Schizosaccharomyces pombe: one gene and its partners. The gene in region 2 interacts genetically with the main gene of each other region. Each region holds a gene or a part of one and is shown on either strand. Other genes may lie near its edges.

Region 1 (9,293 bases), on a different chromosome or scaffold from region 2:
TCTCATGTAACAGACATTAAGTTTGTGTTTGCTCTAACCATCAATCGTTCTTCATTACTTATTTAGATAATATATTCTCAAGTACTAGATACTTAATCAACACTCAAGTCATTTTTTATTTAACAAAATGCAAATATAATAATTATTATTTACCCTAATTGAGAGCATTTCTAATGAGAAATAAGCATCCACATCACACAAATCCTTTAAAAAAAAATAAAATGCTTTAGACAGAAGAATTCTTTGTTGAAGAATAAACAATCTTTGTCGCTGGCTGAATCAGATTAAATTTATCCATTGAAGTTCCAGCAGCTGATTTACCAAACACAAAAGGCAAAATTAAAAGAACAAAAAAGGCAATAAACAATGAAAAGTACAAAGTGGCATAGCGAAGAACTATTTGACGACGAAGTTTGTTTTGTCTTATGGTATAAATTGGGGGTCGAATTTGTCTGCTGGGCACAAGCCAGAATAATATGATCGAGTGAAGTTTGTCGATATAAGGAATCAAAATAACAGGCGCTTGCAAAAACAACAAAAGATGACTTAAAAGGAAATCACCAGCAAACATATTCAACTCTGTAGTTTTACACACAAATTCTCTCCATGGTTGCGTTAAAACCATATATCCAAAACCTTGGCCATTCCAACGTCCAGACCACCAAGCTAAATTGGCACCATCATGACGAAATTCTCGAGACAGGAAACATATGATAAAAAATTTATGAGCAAACCTGTGAATTGAAATGATTGCTACAAATCCAAGTAAAGTTTTTGAAAATGACCAACCTTCCAAATAGCCCAATACTTCAAAGACAACAACATCAACACACACAAAAAGGAAATGGGCCACTCCAGCCAAATATACACCATACGTTTTAGATCTATCGCCGAGAATAGGACGTAACATGATTCCTAAACAGAAAAAGAAAAAAGCAATAATTGCACTTAAAACCAAAGGAGCAACTGACATAATAATCAAGCGAATAAAAGCATTAGTAGATTGGGTCTCATCATCGTTACCAGGTTGGGAATTGATAAAGAGAAATGGAATACACGTGAAAAATAGTGTTCCTAGAGGCCCTAATATTTCACCATAAAACATTGTAGTAATTCTCGCACGCGGGGAATCCATAGCAATTTTATCTGCCTTCTTACCATATATTTTACGTTTATACCCAGTTACTCTGGTACGGCAAAGTTGACAGTTGCCAATCCATGAATTTGCTTGATTGCGTGAATTTTCGCGGAATAGCCAGCGCATAAACTCACGATAATCAACAAAGAAATCGGTCCAGGCGAATTGATGGGGATTGTAAAGGAATGGACTAATGCAAAGAGCAGTCAGCGTAATCCAAAAGTAAATATAATGCGGCAACCAAGCAGTAATTGAACCAAACAATAACATGTACATAAGTCGTGACCCAAAATAAAGTGATGGTCCAGAGAATCGAGAATACAATAGTGAGAACGGCACACGAACAGTAGCAAAACCTCTGCTAGTACCAATATAGCGTGCACCACCAAACGTAAGATTTGCAATTAAACTCTGCGCATATATTTGGCATGTGAAAATTTCAAAAATAGGAGATAGAGAGAATATTTGTTTCGCTAAACGAATAACCATTCGGATGGCACCGCGTTCCCCTAATTCACAAACAGCAAGTGGAACAAAAGCAATACCAAAGACAATGAAAATAGACAAAATACAACGCTTCAACCACTCGAGAACTGGTTTTAATTGATAACAACCTTCAGGGTACAAAGAAGCTGTCAAGGAGTCAAATTGGCGGTATCTACAAACCGGAACAACAGTGTACATTGCTCCCAAATTAATAATAACAAGCATCAATAACTGTAAAGAAAACATGATGACCATGTTATTGACGTGAAATCCAGCGTGGGCATAGAAAAATGACAAAAACCTATCAAACGGTAATTGTGTGCCAAGGTTGAAATATTCTCTTGAAAGCATTTGTTCCGCCATACCCGTTCCAATTTTCGTAGTAAAGTTAAGAATTGAGCCAAAACCCAAGTCACGACCCTTACCACATTGATAGTAATCACAATGCTTAATACGTCCTCCACGTTGAAGAGCAATCATACCTGCATAAATATCTTCATTAACATGCAGACCTTTTTGTGCTTTTGAAACGCCGCCACGAGTAATCATAAACAAAACATTAATAAAATCAGGATGTCCGTAATGCAATTTTCCACCAATCAACGATAAAATACGAGCGAAAAGAGTACCAAATGTTTGTTCCTTTCCAGCAGCTACATCTCCAAGCATACCTGTATTTTCTGAAAAAATGTATTCTCTAGCACCGAGAATAGCTACGGGATGATTGTCAGCAGCTTTGGCATTTACCGAGTAAGGGCTATGTAAGGGAGGAGTAAGTTGCTCAAATTCAGCAAGAATGCTACGAATCTTTAGACATTCTTCCAAATAATTATCCTGGTTGGCATCGATCATTTGTACATATTCACCTCTAATGTAAGGAATAGACATATTTTGATTATCAGATTTACCGTCACCCAAAATTGGGTTACCAGATAGACGAATACGATATTTGGGTCGACGCTTTCCATTTTCCATAATGGGGCAATGACCGTCAATCAGTACAGAATAAAGATGGCGCTCGTCATTATGTCGAGATTGAGGATCTTCATCCATATATGCAATTTGCAAGTCTGGATACGCTCTTAATAAAAATTCTGCATTTTCGGCTTCTTCTTTGGTAAACTTAGCATACCGCTGCATGGAGACACAGAATCGGAACTTCCTGTTTGCCATTAAATCCAATTCTTCATCTAATCGCACAGGGTCACCATTTGTCCATTCGACCAATTCTGGTGTTTCCGTTCTGTATAACAGTTTGATGGCACGACTATAGTTACTGAAACCGTTGATAGTGCGATACAAAGTTTGAGTTCTCAGAGAGGCCCAAATTCTTGTTCTCAAAGTATACTCCGGAGTCGCAGATTTAAATCCAACACAATAGAAAGGAAGGTCATATGCTTTATTTACTCCATTTTTTTCATTGTCGATACTGCCAATAACAGAATCATTTTCATCAGCAAGTAATTTTGTATCATCAACAAAATTTCTCCACTCCACAGGATATAGCTGCTTCAAGTACTCTAATAGAGTTACGCGAGAAAGTTGATCTTCCTCGCGAATAATCTCTCTTAAAGATAACAAAATTTTCTCAGAATAGTGAGGAACCAAAACAGTGAAGGTAGGCATGGCATCAATGGAACTAGTCTTGGGTATTGATTCAGCCAAGGATTGTGCGAAAAAGGAGATTCTTCGAGCAGCTTCTGAATTAGCCGGAAACAAATCTTGCTTATAATGCTTAACCTGTTGGGAGTAGAAAAAGTTGGGAGCTCTAAGAGTATGATAGCCTGCCTTTTCAGAAGGTACTTGATGGTACAACAACTCCTGAATTTGGGTACGGGAAATCAAATGCTCCCTGTACATCGAGATAATAATGGCATTCCAAACTTGAGAAATAAGTACTTTTGGCTTGAAGACAATCTCCATGTCATCGGTATACAACAGTTTTGTATATATTCTTCTGGGAACGCGGTAAAACAATTCTCTCCAAGGAGTCCACACACTGATACCCAGGCAAAAAGCATAAGCCAAAGAATAGATAGTGCTGATAAGAATGTACCATAGATAAGTATCAAGGAAAAACAGAGAAAGATCAGTTAAATACAGTAAACTCAAGAGAATTTTAGGCTGAGCCTTGCATAGTCCAGCTCCTAAAATGTAATCACGGCAGTCATAAGGTCGCATAGCACCCAAAAATCTGATAGAATCTGCCAAATTCAAAGTTAAAAAGAAATAAGATTCCAAGAATTTGGCCACCAAAACTGTAATCCAAAGACACCAAGAAACGAAAGCACCTGTTTTTGAGGTCGGAGTGAAATTGGCGGTGAAAAATCTGTTAGCAAGGTTTTTTCCAGACCTTTTTGTGGTGAAACCAACCAAATTTCGTAACGGCGTAATCGAATAGTAAACTACACAGACCAACGAGAAAAAGAAATGCACAATTCCTACAACCAATCGAGAAGCATAATGCTGCTCTTTCGTAGACGAAGCAAATATGAAAACAACAGGTGCGATGTTTAGAAGTAGCGTACTTATCAATAACAGCATACTCGGCCACAACCTTCTGGCAGAATGATAACGACGAGGAACATGTATATATTCGAAAACCACAGCTGCCAAGGTGATAAAAGAAGCTATAGCACCAGCTAAACCACAAGCTGTCCAACGACAAGAAGCAGGAGGTTTATTATTCAAGCGGATGTGATAATTTTTGGTGTACAAATTTGGGGAATTATAAGCCGAATAATACCAGTAAGCAGATATATGCATTACCCAAATACGTGAGAAATTGGTAACGTTATGGAACCAAGAACGATACTCGTAATAGGACTTATAAAAACATGATTTCCATTCAACATCGGAAAGATGTCGATATCGCATAAACGGTGGTAAATCTAACAACGGAGTTTTATCAGCACACATGATTTCCTGAAGGCCCTTGTAGGACCAAAACAATTGATTAATATCATCATAGCCAATGATTTGAGAATGATCTCTTTCTCGTCTGACGTATTTGCCGTCCAAAATTTCAAACAGCTGTGCATGAATAAATCGATAAATAGGGGTGATAACCGAGTCTAAATAAAATTCCTTGGGCAAAGCAGCATCGACATCTTTAGCTTCCGAAGAGATATAATAATCATAAGCACATTCAAATATAAAACAAAGACACTCGGGAACAAAACGAACATTGTTAGCTTCACCCCAGCAAAGAAAATAAAGGCACACCTGCACCATCATGCGATGGGGTGAAAATGCTGCCATTTGATCTCTCCATGCCTGTTCAGCTTCTTTCAAAGTCATTGTTTCGACAATTGGGGAAGACATATCGTGAAATCCAATGGCATGACCGTCATTAAAATGAGAAGCAAAGTACCACTTTGAAAAATTTGCATGTTCACCACCAATGACATCGGCATGGATAGTAAGCAGTGCCGAGGAAGGAGACATACGAGATGCCCGAGAATCTAAAAGAACCATAACATAATCAAAAATGTTACGCATGTTATCTTTTTGAAAACCAAGTTTATTTGTAAGGTCCAACAAGATCTCTTGAACACCTTCCATAGTAACAGGAGCCTCTTCACCAGCTTGATTCCAAGCCGGATAAGCAACTGAACTGGAATCGACATTAAATGAAGAGCTATCATAATCAGAATGTAATGCATCACGAGAAGAGTTTTTATCGTAAATCATACGGGTCAGAGAGCTCATAGTATCATCGTCAGAGACATAACTATTGGCATCATCTTCAAAGAGTCCACGACCCTCTTGTTCACGCCAATACTGATCCATGATGAATAAATAGACTCAAAAGAAGGAGAGAGGACAAATTTTAATGCTTAAATTAAGAAGAATTGAAAGAAAGAAAAGTTGGAATTTGTGAGAAAGAATGCTAGCAAATGAGGAACGATGTTCAAAAGAAAGAAATAAATTTAAGAGACCTTGAAAAAAAGATTAAAAAGAAAGAAGTTAAGCCTTGGAAAATGGGGGCAAAAGAGTAGAAGAGAAAAAAATTTGTGCTGATTGAAATGAAAAAAGTAAAAGACTTTTTCAAATCCTAAAAAGAAGAAAAAAGGGTGATATATGTATGCCGGATGAGAGAAGACGGCGGAAAAAGCTCTAAAAGTAGGAAAAAGGGTGGGATCACGAAGTGAAAGAGTAGTTAAGATATCGGAGGTTCAAAAGGGAATGAACGGAACCTAAAAATACAGTATGCAAATTATAAAAAAAGAGGCGAAAAAAAAGAAGAAATAATTATAAAAACAACAATAATAATACCATAAAACAGCAAGCACCAAAAGAAGTACTTACAAATGCACACCTAGGAAACTGACCAAATTTTTAAAAAAGCGATTCAAGGAAGGACGTTTTTTTAAAAGAAAAGGAGAAAATATAAAATCGCTTTCCACATAAACTTTAGATTGAACAATTAAATTGTCGTATGCAGAAGCTTATTTACAATCTCTCAAAGCGAAAAAAAAGTAAATGGAGATGGGAAAATGGAAGGAAAAGAGAAGCGAAAGGGTAAGAGGAACCCGGGACAAACGCCAAACGTCCACACAAACACAATGCTACGACAAAAGGTGATCTTGCACACACCGAAAACTTAGCAGTGATGGAGCAACTAACGTAAAGATAATATCACACAAGAAAACTTGGCAAATGTTAAGATGGAGTCAACCTTTTTGTATGGAGGCTAATAGGAAAAAAGAGAGGAAAAAGAAAAGAAGGAACCAATGATAGATATATAAGAAGGAAGAAAAAATTAATTCCGTGCAACAGAATCAAAAATTTGACGTTAAAAAGGATAATTTACTCTAATTAATCAATATATTTTCAAAAATTTTAGAGTAATTCCACTAAGAGAACGGTGAAAATAGCCAAAACCCACCAGTTCCTAGTTTGTTGTCTGCAAGTTGTACTCATTCCGGTTCTTTCAAAACTAACAGCGAAATGGGGAAGGGTAGTGCACATTATTGAGGCCTATTTTAGTGTAAGCAATTTAGAGGCTGGCGTGGTAGGAGGCTCAGGTTACTCACCAACGAGGCACAAGGAGGCTTAAAAAACCATCCCCATACAAAGCAAAGCCATAGCCGGTCAAACAAAGAAAGAATTTATAAGCAGCTACTGTGTAGCATCTTATCAATCGTTATACCCAGCTACCGTTTTAGATGGATACTTTTAACCAAACTAAGGACGCTATATTTGAATTGGAAAAGAAGTAAACAAACTACAAAAAGTCAAGAAAGTGTAGCTGAAACCATAATTCAGTTACAGTGAACATAAGCGACGAGTGTTCTTTTTTTTTGGAATTGTTAAACTAATTTCTAATATGTGATTGTCTACATGGGTGGTAAACAATAGTAAAAATAATACAAAGCTAGAAGGTACCGAATCCCAATTAGCAAAGGTATGATTATTACAGTATAGAGCTTATGAAGAGAACTAGGCATTGGGCTTTTTTCGCAAATCCCGAAAATTGGGAAAATCATAGACGCACAATGTCTGGGTATTGAATGCGTGGGAAAAGTACGGATTTGAATGCTAACAAATCTGGTTAGGATCTAAAGAAGATGAAAAGACAACCGAGTACGAATTTAAAAGCAATTGGTTAATCCAAAGGAAGAAACAATGTGCCGGCATTGGAAAAGGTTTCCATTCCATATTCTGGTTAAGACTTGGATTGGGCAATTTCCCTTACGAATACCCCAAAAACAAACACATCCTGTAAATATTTTTATCTATCAATCGACTATTACAGCGATATTCTTTTAAATCTTTGATGACTATTTAGTTGTCACACTTAAACAACTTCTTACAATCATTTGACTACAACTATTTCTATTGTCGCACCTTCTGCTCTTTTCATTTTCTCCATTTCATTAATTCCTATATTTTCTACTTCTCTAGTTTGTTTTACTTCTTTACACTACCTTATTAGATAAATAATCTAGCACCCTAGCCTTTCTTATCATCTTAACCCCCTGTAGCGAGACTTTTTTCGTCCGGTACCTTACAGGGCTTGGGTGGGCTTTATAGAAAGGCTCAGTACATTTACCACGAGATTTTGAAAAGGATAAATCCAGCGTTTTTTCCTACAAACTATACGTTCCTGATACGCTGTATACGCTTCTTTTTCATCCAAATTTCACATTTTTTATATTTTGGTTCAAGTCTGGGGTTGATTTAAGAAAAATTTTTTTCCGTACTGCCTATTCAGTGTTTCTATTTATATTCAAAGGTGAAATTTTTTGTCTCCGCAAACTTTACATTGCCGTTATTGTCGCTTTGTTTACATTTTGAAAGTCTCAAATTGAATATTTTGAATTTCATCCTTGGCTTTTTTTTATTTGGTTTCCATTTATTTTGGTGATCGGCTTCCTTATTTTTTTTTGCACATTTAGTATTGGGTTAGACTTCAAGTCATAGGAGCCGATTGAATGATATCCTAATATTTGCCTGCTTTTTTAAAATTCTTCCAAAGTTATCTCTTTTTTCTACATTAAAAGGTTTTTTCATTCGTCTACCCAAAACGTTAACGACATTTTCCTTGTATTCTTATCCCTTTAGATTATATCCCATTTTGGTACCCATTACTGTTTTGCTGCATTTCAAGTCAAGCTGATACATTCAAGTGAATCTAGCGGATAATCATATTTTGTATTTCAACCTTTAAGTTTTGCACTTCCTTGCATGCGTCTTTGCCTTCCCTTAATTTTGATTTTTATTACACTGTCAATAATCACGAAACAAGAATATAAGAATAGTCGAAACTCTCACTTTCTTTGCGCCCTTTTTTCCTTCTCCCTTTTCTCCTAATTTTTATTTCTAGACTTCACTGAATTTCCTCGGTTGATTTAGTCAATTGGTTTAATTTTTAATCCTTTTTTTGTTGTTTTTTTACTATTTTGGTTCTTAATTGTCGCTCTTTTTCTACTTCTTATTTATATTATTACCTAAATATTTGGACTCTAACTATGGATATTAATCCTCCTCCTAGTACTGCTCCTTCATCTCCTCGCCGTTCTGTATGTGCTACATAGTGGTTTGGTTCCATTCATACACCCCTTTTCTCCTCGCTAACGTACCATTTAGATACAGCGTATTTCCGATGCAAAAAATAAGGCTCTTACTTTTAATCGTCGACGACTTGGCTTGATAAAAAAAGCACATGAACTCTCCGTTTTGTGTGATGCTAAAGTGGTGGTCATGATTTTTGATTCTAAAAATGCTTGTCACGTTGTATGTTTCATATTTCCCGTTTTTCTGATCCTTTTCTGTCATATCCTTTCAATGTAAAGTGAATACATTATAGGGAAGGTGATGAAGGTCAACAACCAGAAAACGTGGCAATGTTTTTACAAGTTTTTAATATTAACATACACCTCTTTAGTATTCTTCTGAGGAACCGGAAGAGCAAAGAGATGCCTTGCTGCAAAAATTCCTGAACAAGGACTTTGTCACGGTTGACCCTCTGGTAAGTCACTTATCAGCAATCATTATGCTTGTCCTGTATTCTGTTTACTAACATAATCCCTTGGGGAGAAAGAGAAACATAAATCCTAATATACCATCTGATGAATCCCTTCATAATTGGAGACCTAAAGATAAGCGGATTGCTTCTGTTACCACATACAGTGCTCAACCTTCTAATAATTGCTCTTCTGCT
Region 2 (6,179 bases):
ATTTATTTTTGGATTCCTTCTTCAAAACTCATAAACAGCCGTCAACTTGTAAACAGAGGCTCACTAATAGATGACGCAATTTTCGCTTAACAACTGCTTAATGCACTCTAAAGATGATAGGTAAACAAGGTCTACTACTTTAGCAGATTAAGACAGTGAGCTGTATTTTGAATAAACATATGTATAAAAAAGCACATCTATTCCTCAAAAGCGTAATTTTTTTATTTTTATAGGTGATATCTTTACAACGTTGTGGGCGTTAAAGATTGTTATGTAAAGCAAAACAGAGAACTTGCTTAAGATTCTCTGAATTTTTAGGTTTCCCTAAAAAACCCACTGTTGGTTTATTTAATTTTCATTTAAGTCTGAAAAAGTCTTGTTTGTGCTATCAGAAAATGCAGTCGTCAATAGAGGATGTCCAAGCTAATATCAAATAGGTGTGGATTTCTTTGTGTAAAAGAAGTCGATTCCTATTCTTTTTTTTAATCTTTTTTGATTTCAAATTTACACTTTTAATAGGTTGTTGGCTTTAATGTCTATCCTCTTATTATTATATGTGGTGTGTTCATATTTTATGCACCTCTTCTTCTACAAACGACGCGTTTTAAAAAAAAATCCTTTCACCCATCCTAAATGATACTGATTTAAACAAAATGCATTTATTAACTACGACGCTTATTTCTTTTGAACAAAACAAAGTAGAATATTTAACCCAAATCGCGATTTATACTCAAACACCTGTATGCACTGATTCAAACTGTGAGCATGCTAGATTTTTAAAACACAGCCTTATTCAAGTTTCAATTGAAAGGATAGAATATTTATACTCGATATTTCCGAATATATGGCAATTCGCTTTGCTTTGCCAAGGTCAAAATAAAGAATCATTGATACATATGGAAGAAGACGCCAGCACGAATTTCAAACTACGATATTGTAAGTTCTGTCTATCAGTATAATGAAACATAATTTCAAAACCTCCCATTACCCATTTTTGACCTAGTTGATTTAATTTAAAAAAAAAAATTTATTAGAGAACGAAAAAAAAATCCGAAGCTATATATTTACTAATGCTAAATGAGTTTAGATGTACTTCCATGGTCTAGAAGACTGCAAGGATACCAGAGCATTACAGTTCAAAATGGTTCCCATGTGCCTTTAGTCAAACGATTGGAAAAGTGGAGGATATTCGTAGAATGTTAACATATAAACATAAGAAAAAAAAAAGACTGCAGAATACAAGAGATCAATGTCATTAATCAATGTTTACACTTTCAAACTCGTCAGAAGATTGTATAATTTCTGCTTCTTTGTTGGGTATTAGATTGTCATCAGCCGTAGGTTCCGAACTTTGCTTAACTGTAGTAATATTTAGATCTTCTTCTTTATCGAGCGCATTCAGTTGCAAGTTAGTAGTATGCGCTTTTTCTGGCTCTAAGACTTCAGAAACTTGAGGGATTTCCTCAATTGCACCGTTAGTACCAATATCTTCAGCTGCTGCGGGAGATGGCTTATCATCGTCTGAATTTTCCTTAGTATCTAAAGGGGCTTCGATTATTTTCTCATCTGTCAAGCCATTCGCATTTTCAGAATTAGCATTGTTTTTTTCAACCTCTTCGTTAGTTGCAGGTCCTTCTTGATTCAATAAAGATTTAACAGCGTTCTCTTCAATTATTTCGTTAGGTTCAGCTTCTTCCTCATTCGCTGAGGATTCAACAGTACTCTTTGTAACTGCTTCACCGGAGGTAGTTTCTTCTTGATTGATTAAAGATTCAGCGGCTGTATTATTTTCTTCTTTTTCATCTTCAAGTCCTTCAGTCTCCGGGGTATTGTTTTCTTCGTTCACGTTAATCTGCTCAACGGCTGGCAAAGAAGATGGTTTTTCTTGATGATTGTTAGCTTCAACTTCGGAAGTTTGCTGGGCAGCAGGTGTACTTTCCAGATTCGAATGTTCCTCAGCATCCTTTATTTGCATATCCTCTTCGGGATTTTCCTGCTTTGTAGAATTTTCTGGCTGATCCGCTTTGATGTTTTCCGAAGAAGTTGGAGCTTCATTGGGCTTACTAGAATCACTTCGTAAACCAATGTCGCTGGAAACATCGATTGATTGCTCAGCCTCAGTTTCAGGCGCTTCAGCCGGAACAGAAGCTGAACTAGATGGCTCAGCATTTGCACTATTTTGAGTTCCCTGTTGGGTTGTTTGCTGTGGAGCTTTAGCTGATGCAGCACCTTGAGCAACTTCAGCGGTATTCTTCGGTTGTTCGGTTGTAGCATTGAGATTTGGTGCAGCATTTTGCGCAGCTTCTACAGAATTAATAGAAGCGTTAGCATTGTAAGAAGCGCGATTTTCGATGTAAAAACCACTAACGTTCACCAAACGTCCTTCAGATTCGCATTTCAACAAATAATCCAAACCTAAAATAGGGATATTGGCAGCTTTTGCCTTTTCGTACTCAGGACCCCCAGTAGAAGAGCAGATAAAATGAGTTGTATCGATACGAACGCTAGTTTGAATTGGTCTAGCGTGAATGCGTTCAATACACTTTTGTAAAGCCTCCATCTCATTGGGAACCATGTTGCCAACACACACTTGAATTCCTGTGAGATCTATCATTCTTAACGTTTTGATGGTAATGTGTTTGCTGGGAAATGTTCCCGCAGTCGTATCCAAAACAAGGGAAAAATCGTATTCTGTATCGAGAGATAAGCCACTCAGCTTGGCATTGTGAGTAGTCATGGGATTAGATATGTTAAGCACTCGAACATTATTACGGTACAAGCAAAGGCTTTTGAGTCTCGCAGTGGAGAGTTGTAAAGGATCCCATTCCAATACAATGCTAGTCTGAGTAGCATTCTTTAACTTAAGAACAGGAGGAGACGGCAATTTTTGGCCATATGTTTCAAAAATTTCTTTTTGAACATCATCGAATGCAGTTTCTCTTGCTATCTCTTCCTCTTTATTGTGATGCACAGAGATATCGATTATAGAGCCTGCAGTCGCGTCATTCGGCAGCAACACGGATGGAAATTCTATAATATGAAATGAAGGTGTCAATAAGATGGCCATTCCCGCATCTATTTTGGCCACAGACACCATAAATTGATTTGTATCATCCATTTTAGATGCTATTATTGATAATCCCCTTTGGTTGTGGTGGAGTGTTTACCTTAACCAGCACTCTTACACTTCTAACTATAGGTAGCACTTGTTACCTAAGGAACCGTAGTAAAAATGTAGGTTATAATCATCTTTGTTTTGATAAATATCAAGAGTTGTTGTGATTCCCTGGTTTTTCACAATCTATTTACATATCAAACTTATATATTTTTTAAATTTTCTGGTTAGTATCATTATAAGCGTAATTCTAGTAAGGAAGACAATTACAATTTATTAAAATTATATACAAATATTTGAAGATATATTTAATTCAATCACTCAGTAAAAGTGAACGATTTAATATATGTAGTTTATTATTATATTTCAACGAGAATTCATACAAACAATATTACAAAAAAATCTGTTGATTTTTTCAATCATCTAAATTATTAAAATATTGGGCTATTATTATCTATTCTTCAGACTAAAGCATTTTAAGGGGAGCAAATATACTACTTTCTGATACAATTAAATTCTAAATTACGTTAAGTTACATTGATAGTAAACAAAAACAAATGCAGTACTGTTGAACCCAGTTGATGAATATATCTTAATTCGTAAACCGTGCTGCATTCAAAATTTAAAATACTACACGAATGAAGGATTAGACCACAATATCTGTTGAGCAAAATAGAAGTCGAAAAATAATACAATTGTTAATCTGGATATAAAACCACGTGTGAGCAAACTTAAAAAATATTTCCTAATTATCAGGTTTACACATTTCACTCTATAAAATTAATTAAGAATAGTGGTTTTTTAATACACCTATCAGTGCAATAATCAGTATAAAAAGAAGCTAGCTTCTAAAGGAAAAATATGAAAATAAGATAACAAATTTGCTCCCGTACTAAGTACTTTTGAAGAATTAGAAAAAAGCCGTAGACAAATGGAATATCGAGGCTAATCTGTATACATTAAAACATTATCCATCTTTATGCTATAGGGTTATCCATATAAAGAGCGGAATAGAAAAGAAATACCGAGAAGGAAACAAAAATTCTATTTACCATCTTAAGTACGGAAAGTAATGATAATTTTGTATCCATAAAGATTTCCTTTGTCAAGCAAGCAAGGCCCATGATATGTATGGTGAGGTGTAGAAAGAAGAAAAGAGGAAAAAGCAATACAGGCCAAAACCAAATTGCTCAACAAAAAACCAACCTGGTATTCACTATCATTGACCCGTCAGTCATCAAGTATGTATATGCAAGAAAAATAAAAACGAATAAAGGATCTTGAGAAAAAATGCGTTATCTCTTTGCAAAAAAAGTGGCCCTGTCTACATCAGAAGCTTTTTTCTTAAAATTCGATTTATAGGTTGTTGTGTCAGGCAAGAGAGAAAGAAAGAGAGAAGGAAGAAAAAAACCAGAGACAAAAATACGCTTGAAAAAAAAGTATTCAAACAGCAAATATTTTGACTCGGCATGCGACTAAGCTACATGATACATCTTCTTACTTGCCATGAAATTTTGTTGCGATAGGAACAATAATGACAACAAGTAAAATGATGATACCAATGATAATGCAAAGACGCATACGCATGTCCTTCCACCACATCTTCTTGCGAACACGATTGGCGCCACGACGGAAGCCTTGCGCGCTAACAGCAAGGTTATCTTAAAGAAGTTAGCTAAACGTTCAAAAAAAAAATTTAACTGTTAACAAAAATAAATATCATACCTGTTTTATCTTGTAAAGAATCAAGGCGTTCTCCACGTTCTGAAACCTTAGAAATGTTTTCACGCATAATCCCCACAGTATCGTCAATCTGCTGCTGAATTGCAGCTGTCTTCATATTCGGCGTCGACGAAGCAGCAGCATTTCCACTACGAACAGCTGCAGAAGGCTCCGCCGGGATATATGGGTCATATGGCTCAGACATGGTCGTATGTGTTAGTTGGTGGAGGATTTATTTTTGCGCTCGGTTGGAGTTGATGTGTACCAATTCGTTAATCCTCTTTCCATTGCGTTAAACATCTGGCTTTGTAATGTTGGGTTGCAAAGCAGTTTTGTGATTATACTTATATAAATTAAAGAAAAAAAATAAAATAAAGTAATAAAATTACTTCTTGCCTTTTTACAATAAGAAACATGTAACTAGCTGTACCCTCATAGTAAATAACGTAAACAAATCCTTAGTATTGGTGAATTTGGGAGGAACCAACTACGCCCTTTGGAATAGAGATTTGGAAACACGTCTTGTTTCTTGGCGATTTGAGCTGTTCATAACAATATATTTCTTCTTCTAAATTTCCTTGAGTTATGAAATTTTTATGAAAGTTTTAACTTTCACATAGTGTTAAAAGGTCTCCTCTCATCGCTGTAGCGTCCGAAACGTTATTTGTTATTTTATTCTTGAGATCTTTTGTAAATAAAATTTTATTTACGTTACGATTTACGTCTGGATTAGGGTTTTGGTTTTGGCACTTGCAATATTAGATTTTTCCTGGGTTTTTGGTCTATCGGTGAAACAACGTTTATTTGGGTCCATTTAATCATACATTTATTAGAAAAAAGTCTTTAAAAAAGAGACAATACTCACTTACCTACATTTCTTTTGTTTGTTTTTTTGTTTTCACTCTTTTATCAGAAAAACAGGTTGAAATTTCCAAAAAAAATATTATTTACTTCATAACATTAAAAAAATATTAAATTTGATTGTTACAAATGGCGGAGAATCTTAGCGATCAAGATTGTTTTGAAAAATTATCGTCTAGTAAAGAGGGTCAGCATTGGTTTTGCTCAGGACTACTGACTCAGTATATACAACCTACCTTCTTTTGGTTTGCACATGATGAAACTCCGAGCTTTAAATGGGTATTAAATGCCTATCATGAGCGTTTACGCTCTTGTACTTCTTGTATACAAGCTTATTATGAACTTCGAAATGAATCCCTTGCGAAAGGTTCATATTCTTTTACTGGGTTTTCAATTACCGATTTACAGGAAAAGTGGAATAAATGGGATATTATCCGTGTCTTAGAGGACTTCAAGGCCCTGGAGGATGAAACAATTGACT
Region 3 (4,803 bases), on a different chromosome or scaffold from region 2:
CCTAGTAGTGGGAAAATATTAGCTGACGGAGTTGACATCTCTACATATAATGTTCATCAATGGCGCAGTCATTTTGGTTTAGTTGGACAAGAACCGGTTTTATTTTCTGGTACAATTGGCGAAAATATTGCTTACGGTAAATCTAACGCATCTCAAGAGGAAATCGAAGATGCTGCCAAACGAGCGAATTGTAGTTTTGTGCTTTCTTTCCCGGAGAAATGGTCTACGCAAGTCGGGACTCGTGGTTTACAACTAAGCGGGGGACAAAAACAACGCATTGCAATTGCTAGGGCACTTCTTCGAAATCCAGCATTTTTAATTTTGGATGAAGCTACTTCAGCATTAGACGGTGAAGCAGAAGTAATGGTGGATAAAACGATTCAATCTTTGATGCATAATCGTAGTATGACTACCATTACGATTGCTCACAAATTGGCTACTATTCGCCGAGCTGATCAAATAATTGTTGTTGGAGACGGGAAAGTTTTGGAGCAAGGGTCTTTTGAACGATTGTCTCGTCCTGGTACCAACTTTTACAAGTTAATGAGATGGCAGCTTGGAAAAGTTGAACCTTGATCGTAAACGTGAAGTATCTCTTGTTCGTTTTATTAATTTATTCATGCGTACTCTCAAGACGCAATTTTCAATCATATCTTTAAATACATCGGTACTCTATTCTTTTTTTTCTTCGCTGGCATATAAGATTAGCAAATTAATAATATTCAGTTCCGTAATTAGTTTGGCATTTAAAGAAAGGGCTGCGGAAATTGTTCCTTTAAGCAATATCAACTGAGAAGAAACTGTAAAATCTAAAACCCCAATAGCAAACTTAAGTTTGAAAGGAGCAAATATTAAAAGAGAGAGAATATATATTAATTGCACAAAATTCGTTACGCTTGTAAATCTCGACAATGAAAAATCGTCCAGTAGTTTATGCGGCAAATGGAAGTGAAGCTAGATACAAATCACATTAAATGAAATAACTACAGTACGGACGTTCAGTATTTGCTACAACGGTAAAAGGTTCAAGTATTTTTAAATAATTTTAGAAATCATATTAAAGGGTGGAAAGTCGACAAAATCAACAAGCATAAAAAGCGGTAAGCAGTACACCAAGAGACGGCATACCGTTATGAAACGCAATATAAGGGAAGGACGAATAAACAGACATACCCTAAATATCAAAGCACAGATCCAAGAAAAAGTATAGTTACAAATCTGTAGTAGGTAGACAAAGAATTTTATATGAGAACTGAATACTTAAAAAAGTATAAATTATAAAAAAAATTCTTAGTCAGATATTATTTTAAACACTGCTAATTGTGTCAAAAGGAAGGGTAGTGTGCAAGCATTGAAAGCAAAAAGGATTGGAGAGCTTTATCTCTAAGAAGAAGAGGATACAGTTGTGCCGGCAGCACCAGGAGCATTGCTATCTTTTGCAAGGCTGATGAGAAGTTCACGAAAGCGTTCTGTAGAGCGGCCATGAGCCTCAGGCTTATCGGATAAATCAATAAGCTTCAGGATACGCTCCCAGCTCGTAGTTCCAGTAGATTTGCTTTCATTTTCTTCCAACAGTTTTTCTTGTTCTTTTCTCGACTTGGCAATGACTTTATCTCTCTTATCATTAAAATTCTCATAAAAATCATCAATAGCCTTGCGGGCCTTCTCGATATTAGATTCGCGCAACTTTTTGGAAGACTCATCTCTTTCTTGGATCCTTTTCATTTGATCCTCTTTCCACTTGCGAACGGGTTCGGGGTCACCGCTTTCGTCTTCAGGGGGATGAACTTCGGCTTGACCCATGTAAGGAGCTTTCGGAGCGGAAAAGGTACCAGAGGCTTGCATTTCAGCATCTATGGGAGGAAAGTTCTGTTCAAATCTAGTTTGTTCAGCTTCCGAATCATTTTCAAAATTCAACAACGCGTCTTTATCCTCCGGTGTTTCGAATTGTCCAGCATCCTCTCCAAGTGCCAACTTTTCGCGTTCCAAGAAATCAGTATTATTTTTAGAGTCATCAACAGGAGCGGTAACCAAACCGTCGTCAAAGTCTTCTAAAGCCGGAAATTGAGACATGGTGGTTGGTAAAGGTTGAAAGTGGTAGTATCTGCATCTAAGTAGACAGCAGCTTTGCTGAGTGTAGCATAATTTAGCGAAACGTCTTTTCTTTCGCTATTTATATTAACGTGTCAATGATATAAACCAAATCGTTAAATTCAGCCAGTATTTTATTTTTCGTTATATATCACTAAAAAATAAACATCTATAACACTGAGGTTTTTTTTCTTATAAAAAAATTCGCTAAACCAAGATAGATAGAAAGTATACCATCTTTTATAATTTACAAAAATGAATACATGAAACATAAAAATGACAGTGAACGCAGTACGAGGTACAGTTTTGTTAGTTTGATCAAGTCGGGAGTTTGAGATTTGTCAAATAGGAACGCCAAGACATTAAAGCAAACACTGTTCAAGGATCTTATAACTACCGAATTATTAGTGACTCCGGTCGCATTTAGTATGAAAATTAAATGCTTTAGGAAGAAGTTTCAGTTGAAATAATATAACGTGCAACATTCACTTTCTTGTCCAACGTTAAAATAATATAATATATCAGATTAATGCGTTAATGTAAGCTACGCAGTTTGGTATCTGATTTAAGGATACATAGAACTGCGGTGAGTTTTCCTTGTGATCTATTATATTACAATACACAGGTTGTATGAGTAGCAACTGAGTATAGGTATTGTATTAACTAGGTTATAATGTTACCTATCACTAATATAGCTTATAACTGAACTGAGGGACGAGGTTCAGTTGTTCTCAATTTATAATATTTGAAGTAGTAAGAATTATATCTGATAGTTATCTTATCATGAATGATATTATATCTCCATCTTGATGACTTATCATGTAATAGTTGATAGAGCAAATAGAACATTGTGAACATGTGACATATAGTGATATGCAACGTGGAGTATCATAGCGTAGTGTAGTATTGCTGACAGTTAAAACGTTTTTACATAGTATGTTTTAATATCTTAAACTCCTACATGGTGTATTTCTAGAGGTTAATTATGATATCGAGGTCTTACTGCAATCTGACTGTTTTACTCACAAAAAGTCTTTAAATTTGAGTAATTATCTTTACTCAACCTTACAGTTGTTGAATGTATTTGTGCGGCCTGATTGTACATGTACTATACAACTATGCATTCGAATGGGAGCAATGTATATGCCAATATTTATTGCTAAGCACGTCGGGTAATTGATTACGAATGTTCATTAGGAATGTTTAAAACACAAGTCAAGCAACAATCAAATATAACGATTCTCATTTGTCTTGTATAAACCTTTTTGACAACATAAATCAATAGTGGCCGTTTGGTCTAGTGGTATGATACCATCTTAGGGTGATGGTGGTCGTGGGTTCGATTCCCACAACAGCCCATGTTTTTACACTTTTTTACAACTTGATGTAAATATCGATTACTTATATCTTTTCACCTCTTAAGAGTTATAAAAATATAAGCACATATCTACTCTACATGAAGACGATCTGGATATTCTTAAGAAAGAAAAGAAACAGCATTACTACGAAACTTTTGTTGTAGGGGTACGGAAATGAAAAGTTCAATCATATGAATAATTAATGTCTATTACAAACCACAAGTTGTATATTACCACCAATATATTTTTTTAGTTCACCAAAACCTAATAAACGTGCCGAATCAATTAATTATTGTGAATCCTTTGTATATTCAGAAACCCGATCAAGACGTTTGGGAAGCGTCTTTCTTAAGACAACATTATGACTTGACTTGATTGTAGAATCAAAAGGAAGATACCAGTCCGCTTTTGGTACATCTTCTGGGTAGACTTTTCTTAATTCCTCAGTCCATATATCAGCTAAATGGAATAAAATCCCATTTGGAAAAGCAAGATTTTCGGTACTAAAAGCAGTTAGTAGTCTGTCCAAATAAACAGAAAAATGATAAAAATTAAGAAATAGCTATTCAACAAGTTTGATGTAAGCAGGAAGTAAAAGCGTTGCAAAACTTTTCTAAAAGTCTCCAACGCAAAAGCAATCTATATAATAAACAAATTCCCACACGCGGGAACGAAAACAACTTACTTAAAAGGACCATCCATCCACATCTGATTATATTCAGCCACTACTTTGTCCAGCAAAGCAGTTTTACTTCTTGTTTGAATATCCCGAAACGCAGCAGCACAAAATCTACGCATTAACAAGTAAAATTTGTCTGTTCGTAAAATATCAATTCCCGTCCATTCACGACCCATAGTTTCCCAAAAAGTAGATTGAAATAATATTCTATTGTCTATCCAGACAATTGGAACCAACGCGGCTAAATTATCTGAGAGTTTCTGTTGGTATAAGGGTTTATCAGCCATCCACATGCCTGCATATTAAAAAACAATTAGATGATTTACATTCATAACCCAAAAAAATTCATACAGTAAAATAAGCCCTTCCAAAGCTTGAGAAAGTCTAACCTTTCAAATTTTTTCTTTTGGCTTAAAAACCGCTGCAACGATTCAAGAGCCTTATCACGAGTTTTTCGATCTTACAGTGTTAGTACATTAATCATTTATATGTAAGAAATTTACCATTAGCTGCAAGTTTCTTAATAAACGGCGACGGAGCCGACATTGTTGGTTTATTGACAAAGTGTTGAAGCAGTTCTTAGCATCGTTCCTTCCATACTGCGTTTTAGTGCACTAATTGGAGAGTTGATAAATGTCCCTTTCTAATATATGAAATAAGGAGTTTCCCAGTCAA

The links. Genes that interact genetically often act in the same process or in processes that back each other up.
Region 1: mutations in cfr1 (region 2) and bgs1 impair growth when combined (synthetic growth defect), as found in Schizosaccharomyces pombe (one study listed by BioGRID).
Region 3: mutations in cfr1 (region 2) and clc1 impair growth when combined (synthetic growth defect), as found in Schizosaccharomyces pombe (one study listed by BioGRID).

What each region holds. Positions count from the first base shown.
Region 1 is NC_003423.3:2,350,828-2,360,120, forward strand, and holds bgs1 (primary septum and spore wall linear 1,3-beta-glucan synthase catalytic subunit Bgs1), read right to left. Parts: upstream 6,538-9,293; 5' UTR 5,417-6,537; coding exon 227-5,416; 3' UTR 95-226; downstream 1-94. Other genes in the region: DNA-binding transcription factor, MADS-box Mbx1, read left to right, coding at 8,602-8,652, 8,720-8,866, 9,018-9,101, 9,174-9,293. UniProt on the Schizosaccharomyces pombe protein: Alternate catalytic subunit of the 1,3-beta-glucan synthase (GS) complex. Synthesizes 1,3-beta-glucan, a major structural component of the fungal cell wall. Required for the assembly of the division septum and maintenance of cell polarity.
Region 2 is NC_003424.3:3,267,174-3,273,352, reverse strand, and holds cfr1 (CHS5-like protein Cfr1), read right to left. Parts: upstream 3,157-6,179; 5' UTR 3,119-3,156; coding exon 1,256-3,118; 3' UTR 1,204-1,255; coding exon of another isoform or gene 1,088-1,203; 3' UTR 986-1,087; downstream 1-985. Other genes in the region: bouquet formation protein Bqt1, read left to right, coding at 654-936, 1,088-1,203; syb1 (synaptobrevin family receptor), read right to left, coding at 4,613-4,776, 4,841-5,042; helicase Sen1, read left to right, coding at 5,828-6,179. UniProt on the Schizosaccharomyces pombe protein: Required for cell fusion, independently of fus1. Appears to have a role in transporting proteins that are involved in mating. May act as a scaffold to retain cell fusion proteins in the cisternae of the Golgi.
Region 3 is NC_003423.3:1,824,433-1,829,235, reverse strand, and holds clc1 (clathrin light chain Clc1), read right to left. Parts: upstream 2,084-4,803; 5' UTR 2,074-2,083; coding exon 1,384-2,073; 3' UTR 1,038-1,383; downstream 1-1,037. Other genes in the region: mdl1 (peptide-transporting ATPase), read left to right, coding at 1-576; Nop52 family nucleolar protein, read right to left, coding at 3,739-3,952, 4,135-4,423, 4,480-4,587, 4,632-4,674. UniProt on the Schizosaccharomyces pombe protein: Clathrin is the major protein of the polyhedral coat of coated pits and vesicles.